Linked DNA regions of Macaca fascicularis. Each later gene encodes a partner of the first gene's protein in a complex. Links are inferred from orthologs where the notes say so. Each region holds a gene or a part of one and is shown on either strand. Other genes may lie near its edges.

Evidence for each region. The genes of interacting proteins can lie anywhere in the genome.
Region 2: the proteins of YWHAZ (region 1) and CFTR are in contact, whole or in part, in a crystal structure (PDB 5D2D), measured with the Homo sapiens proteins. The link is inferred for Macaca fascicularis from reciprocal best matches to the Homo sapiens genes YWHAZ and CFTR. Residues at the interface, in NP_001129171.1 of Homo sapiens: Asn38, Arg41, Asn42, Ser45, Val46, Lys49, Arg56, Arg60, Glu113, Phe117, Lys120, Arg127, Tyr128, Glu131, His164, Pro165, Ile166, Gly169, Leu172, Asn173, Val176, Glu180, Ile217, Leu220, Asp223, Asn224, Thr226, Leu227, Trp228; in NP_000483.3 of Homo sapiens: Arg764, Arg765, Arg766, Gln767, Ser768, Val769, Leu770, Asn771, Leu772, Met773, Thr774.

What each region holds. Positions count from the first base shown.
Region 1 is NC_088382.1:110,550,200-110,553,768, forward strand, and holds part of YWHAZ (14-3-3 protein zeta/delta), read right to left. Parts: intron 2,421-3,569; coding exon 2,297-2,420; intron 1,571-2,296; coding exon 1,407-1,570; intron 1,323-1,406; coding exon 1,227-1,322; intron 1-1,226.
Region 2 is NC_088377.1:159,037,830-159,041,398, reverse strand, and holds part of CFTR (cystic fibrosis transmembrane conductance regulator), read right to left. Parts: coding exon 2,890-3,569; intron 616-2,889; coding exon 487-615; intron 1-486. UniProt on the Homo sapiens protein: Epithelial ion channel that plays an important role in the regulation of epithelial ion and water transport and fluid homeostasis. Mediates the transport of chloride ions across the cell membrane.

The sequences.
Region 1 (3,569 bases):
TTGCAATATATGCTCTTCATGCTATACTGATAGCAAAATTCAGTTGGAAGCAGACAGTAGATCAGGGCCTTTCCAAAAGTGATGAGAACAAAACACAGTATCTAGGTCTCAGGTCATCACTTGAAAAATGTCATCACTTCAAACTAGAAAAGAAAAATCCTTAATACCAAAGTTAGTTAACAAAGTGCTTCTTAACATTTGATATAAAGATTCTTTCATTCTTTACTATAGCTTATTATCTTGACTCAAGTATCAGAAAAGTTTATAGGTAGCTCCAAATTGCGCTAATAAAGTAATTTTAGGTTTAATAAACAAGTATACAATGCTATTCAAAAAACAATATTTTCAGCACTAGAATATATAACTAGTTCATAGAAAATGGCAGTGGACTAGAATAAAGTTGGAAGAGAAATGTATAAAATGAGGTTATATAATCCCCAAGAGAAATGGCCCTAAAAGTCTAACAAAAAAACCGTAATACTAGATTATCATCTGCAATTCCTACCTCTTTACCTGACACAACACAGCAAATGCTTGATAATTTTTTCACCTAAGCCTCAAAATTTCAAATCTAATATTGATCTGAATGAGAAGACCTAAGAAACAAGACATACAAATCAACTGCACTGTGGACTGAATTTGAATCCCAATTCAAATAACTTAAAAAAAGAGAGACAATTGGAATTCAAGTATTATTTAGATATTCAAACATTATTAGGGAATTACTGTTGATGTTTCTAGTGTGATAGTGACACTGTTTCTTTTTATACATCTGCAGTATCCCAAGGACAATCACGACCTTTCATATTAAGTCATTTAAAAGCAGCAGCTAGGCAAAATAGACTTCCACTTAGATTCTGCAGACACCTGAGATTTTATAACTCAAGTTATTAATTCCCTACCATTATCTTTACAAATACAGAGGCAACTTGATGGGCAAGAAAATCATTCTTAAAGGAACTAAAACATGTAGAGCCTCAGTACACTTTTGATACTAACATTCAAATTTTAGTAACACAGGTAACATCAATGTGTATATTTTTTAGTTCTTAGTCTAATATTTCAGTTTCTGTAGTTTTCCTTCATATGATTTTAACAGTAGCTACTTATGAGAGCCTATGAATTGTGTTGAGAAAAAATTTTTAAAAGATTTAATAAAAATTCCTCAGAGTAAAACATAACCTCTTCAACCACATTCATCACTAATGATGCTGTTATATACTTACTGTCAAGTTGTCTCTCAGTAATTGCATTATTAGCGTGCTGTCTTTGTATGACTCTTCACTTAATGTATCAAGTTCAGCAATGGCTTCATCAAAAGCCTATGATTTAAAAATAGTACATTAGATTTCAGTGCTCAAGTAATAAAGACTGCTAAATTTCTATGTAACAGGTAAAATACATACTGTCTTTGCAAGAGAGCAGGCTTTCTCTGGGGAGTTCAGAATCTCATAATAGAACACAGAGAAGTTAAGGGCCAGACCCAGTCTGATAGGATGTGTTGGTTGCATTTCCTTTTTGCTGATTTCAAAAGCTTCTTGGTATGCTTGTTGTGACTGATCCACAATCCCTGGATAAAGACACACCAAAACGTACTGAGATAAAGTGTGCATTGTATCTTCACCCCTCAAACCAAACCTTTAATATCTCAGGTATCCTTTGAAATACTAATCTGTAACAGCTTAATACTGGTTAATTGAACAAGGCCCTTTAATTTTTTTTTAAAAGGAGTTTTCTCCTGGTATACACTAGTCATTGGTCAATGTCAAGATAAAACAACTTTATAATCTCCATTACTGTTATATTTTTAAAAAATTAACTAGTTTGCACTACTCCTCAGTTACACTGTAACCACTATTTCTTTTTTCTTGAGACAGGGTCTGGGTCTGTCACCCAGGGTGGAGTGCAGTGGCACAATCAGGGCTCACTGCAGCCTTGATCTCCCAGACCCAAGTGATCCTCCCACTTCGGCCTCTAGATTAGCTGGGACCAAAGGCTTGCACTTGCACCACCATGCCCAGCTAATTTTCAAAACATTTTTTGTAGAGAGAGATGTTGCTCAGGCTGGTCACTTTTCTTAAAATCTTGAAAAAACATCCCTGTGCACAAAATTGGCTTTTCAGAAAGCATATATATTAGAATACCAGTATTAGGCAGTAGATATATATTCTCAGAACACCAAAAAAGCACTGCTACTCCTTATTCAGCACTCTAAGCAATTAAAAGCAAGGAATTATTTACACTTCAGAGACTCTTCCTCACTAAAGTTCAACCAACAGGTTTAAAAACAGCATACCTTTCTTGTCATCACCAGCGGCAACCTCAGCCAAGTAACGATAGTAATCTCCTTTCATTTTCAAATAGAAGACTTTGCTCTCTGCTTGTGAAGCATTGGGGATCAAGAACTTTTCCAAAAGAGACTTAAGAAGAAAAGAAACAGACATAGTGAGAATAAAACATTTACAAAACTGAAAGAACTTGCATTTTTTAAAGGACAAACTATAGCCTTAAGTTATACAACTTTAACACCCAGTCACTGTCAATACAATTGTGAATGCAGCTGGCAGATGAATTTGTGGTTTAAAGCAGAATGCTTTGGGCAGCAATACTTGAAGTTTGAAGTTAGTGTTCAGTTTATTATTTGAGGACAATACAATTGAGTATCAGTCCCTGACAATGTCATCTATTTACATACTGATTTCAATGAATTTCGTGAAGCATGACCGTTCATATTTAGGAACATTTTCTAATGAGCTGGCAAGCTTTCCATCTGAAGTTTCATGTGTTCATGACATGAAAATAGAACATACGGGATGAACCTTTTGGGACTCTGAAGAAATGACTAAAGCAGAAACCAATAATGTAAGACACTTAAGGAGTCCATGCCAGAGAGAGAGGAACAAAATAAACTTCATTTATAAGAACACAATTCAAGCAAACCTCACAACAGATTAAAAAAACTGTTCAAAACGAAAGTTTCATTTTTCCTAAATTAAGACAGTGGTATGGGCCAGGCACGGTGGCTCATGCCTGTAATCCCAGCACTTTGGGAGCCCAAGGCAGGCAGATCACATGGTCAGGAGATCGAGACCATCCTGGCTAATGCGGTGAAACCCCGTCTCTACTAAAAAATACAAAAAATTGGCCAGGCGCGGTGGCAGGAGCCTGTAGTCCCAGCTACTCGGGAGACTGAGGCAGGAGAATGGCATGAACCTGGGAGGCGGAGCTTGCAATGAGCCGAGATCACACCACTGCACTCCAGCCTAGGCGACAGAGTGAGACTCCATCTCAAAAAATAAATAAATAAAAATTTAAAAAAATTTAAAAAGACAGTGGTAGGAGACTTACAGATCTTAAAAGAGCAGACCTTTAATAATCTCATTGACGTCATTTTCGGCTAGTAAGATACATGATTACAGATCATCCCAGACAACAGATAAAATTAAATCATCATCCTATAAAATTCTGTCTAAAACTATTACTACAGTCTAAGTCATTTGATCAGGATTTTAAACATTACACTCTGTAATTGAATTAGATCATTGTGTTGGGGATGGGAAGACTCAATA
Region 2 (3,569 bases), on another chromosome or scaffold:
AAACTCTTATCTTTATATTTAAATACATTTGATATGTAATATGAAATAATAAAATATCAATAGTGATTCTAATTGGTTAATTTCAATCCAAATAAAAGCCTTCTACTTTTGAGTTTTTGAATCTCTTAACATTTATTATTAAAATCTATTAAAAACTCTTCTTATATTTGTATTTAAATATATTTTATATGTAATACGAAATAGTAAAATATCAATAGTGATTCTAATTGTTGATTTTTCAGAAGCTAAGAATTATATGAATCTATACTATTATATACTGTAAAATCACAAATATATGTAATATATAAATATATACATACTTATACATAGTTATATATGTGTGTATATATGCACACATACATGTATACATATATATGTATGTGTATATATACATATTTAAGTGTGTGCATATATATGTATACATCCTTCGAAACTATCTTAATTTAACTTTAAATCACAGTATACTTTACAATAGAACAGTCTTACCTCAGCCAGAAAAATTACCAAGCACCAAATTAGCACAAAAATTAAGCTCTTGTGGACAGTAATATATCGAAGGTATGTGTTCCATGTAGTCACTGCTGGTATGCTCTCCATATCATCAAAAAAGCACTCCTGAATAAGAGAATTATGGCTATTACAATAAGACAATACAGTTTCATGCCACCATGGTGGTTTTATTTTTAATATATGAAAATAAAGGAATAGTATTACTTGAATCTAAGTGTATTTTAACAAATATAAATCAGTATAAATGCCATGTATGATGTCATTTTATAGTCAGAATAATGTCTACTGGAGCAACACAGCTTTATTAAAACTGAGAAACACCGTAATTTTTCAAAATTCTAAAAATGTATCACTGATTATGTAACTGTATTATTATTGGACAGTTTTACCATTAAAGGCTTAACAGTGGCATACCTTTTATCAAATGAATGATACCACCTAAATGAAGTTTCCCAGAACTCTCTTTGATTTAACCTGTTTCTTCAGGGGTCCATGGACAAGTACAGGTCAGTATACTGCACTGTATATACTATAAAGGTCTTCCAGTAGACTGAAAGCCCATTTGTGTTTGAACATTCCTTAGTAACTTAGGACTATCTCTCTTTGCAACTATGATTTAAATTACATAATTCTCATCCTAGGCATATTCCTATTCCTCTAGAAATCTTTGTCTTTTGGCATATCGATACATTTCAAAATTTTGAAAAAGAGAGATTCCAGATAGTCCAAAGGAAAAAGATAGTTTTGTTTCTCACAAGATCAACAAAACTCATAGGAAAGCACTATGAATCACAAAGAAGAGGTCCTATGGTATTGGGATATAGTGCACTGGTTAGGAGTATGCATTTTTTGAGTCAGACAGATCTGAATTTGAACCCAAACTCCACCATTAACAGCCTAGGAGCCGCCTGAATTCAAGCGTGTTGCTGAACTTCTCTGAACTTTAATTTCCTTATCTGCAAATGTGAAAAATTTTAAGTACCTTCCAGGGTAGTTGTGGGGACTAAATGTATGCCACCTAGAACTAGATGCAATCCATAAATGGAAACTATTATTAGTCAAGGCTATCATTCTTTACAACTAAATTTTTAGGCTCAGGATTGAGAAATTCATTTAGATTGATATTAAATTATATAAATGGGTTGGGCACAGTGGCTCAGGCTGGGCGCGGTGGCTCATGCCTGTAATCCCAGCACTTTGGGAGGCCAAGGGGGGCAGATCACAAGGTCAGGAGTTCGAGACCAGCCTGGCCAACATGATGAAACCCCTTCTCTACTAAAAATACAAAAATTAGCTGGGTGTGGTGGTGCATGCCTGTAATCCCAGCTACTCAGGAGGCTGAGGCAGGAGAATTGCTTGAACCCAGTAAGCAGAGGTTGCAGTGAGCCGAGGTCACGCCATTGTACTCCAGCCTGGGTAACAGAGTGAGACTCCATCTCAAACAAACAAACAAACAAAACACTATATAAATGAATTATCGTTTAGGAAACCTTCGTAAAGTATGGAAATTCTAAAATTACGCACTTTAGGGATCTATTTTATTCCCTCATTTTACAAAGAAGGAAACTTCAGCCTAGAGATGTTAATGGCTTGTGTCTTGTCAAAGGTCACATTATTCTCAAATGATCTATACTATTAAATATATCAATTAATTACAACCCTGCCCATGGCTCATTTCATCCAAGGCATTAAGTTTTCTACTAAAATAACAAAAACTCTCCTTTTTACATTATTTCTTGTTTTAAAAATAAAATACTTTTATTCTTAAGACCTAATATAACAAACTTTCTGTCTGAAGATTGGCACTAGTACATGTTGAGCTTCATATACCTTCTCTAAAAGAAATCTCTTTAGCAACCCAATGTATAAAGCAAACTCACAAGATAAAAAAAGCCCACAATAGCTAAATTCAGGCAAGACTGATACACAAACTAGAATGTGAGTCCCATCAAGAGTCTAAATGTTTATACACCTTATATAAGCTACTTCCATACAGATTATTTTGCGAGCTATAAATAATGAAAGCTACTATTTATTTATACAGTTACTTATACTGCACCTCTTCCCATAGAGGGTTCAGATGGTAATAAAGTAGATGCTTTCTAACTTATAGTCACAATTATCACTGGTTTAGTAAAGGACCGAAAACTAAATCCTTTCCCATTTTATGGGAAGAGATATGTCCATCGCAAAAAGAAATCATTTGTTATTTTACATTTTAAAGTTGCTTACATAATTAATGAACTTCATACTGTCTGAGTTTTAAGATAAACCTTATCCTAATCCCATGATTTGAGTAAATTTTGTTACATGCTACATATTGCATTCTACTCAATTGCACCCTGTATGGTGAAATACCCACAAGCAATTTATACCTACCTTTAAGTCTTCTTCATTAATTTCTTCACTTATTTCCAAGCCAGTTTCTTGAGATAACCTTCTTGAATATATATCCAGTTCAGTCAAGTTTGCCTGAGGGGCCAGTGACACTTTTCGTGTGGATGCTGCTGTCTTTCTGTGAATGCTCTGACCTTGGTTAACTGAGTGTGTCATCAGGTTCAGAACAGACTGCCTCCTCCGTGCCTGAAGCGTGGGGCCAGTGCTGATCACGCTGATGCGAGGGAGTATCACCTCTCCCTGCTCAGAATCTGGAACTAAGGACAGCCTTCTCTCTAAAGGCTCATCAGAATCCTCTTCGATGCCATTCATTTGTAAGGGAGTCTTTTGGACAATGGAAAATTTTCGTATAGAGTTGATTGGATTGAGAATAGAATTCTTCCTTTTTTCCCCAAACTCTCCAGTCTGTTTAAAAGATTGTTTTTTTGTTTCGGTCCAGGAGACAGGAGCATCTCCTTCTAATGAGAAACGGCGTAAGGTCTCAGTTAGGATTGAATTTCTTCTTTCTGCACTAAATTGGTCGAAAGAATCATATCCCATGAGTTTTGAGCTAAAGTCTGGCCGTAGATTTTGGAGTTCTGAAAATGTTCCATAAAAATAGCTGCTACCTTCATGTAAAATTAATATTTTGTCAGCTTTCTTTAAATGTTCCATTTTAGAAG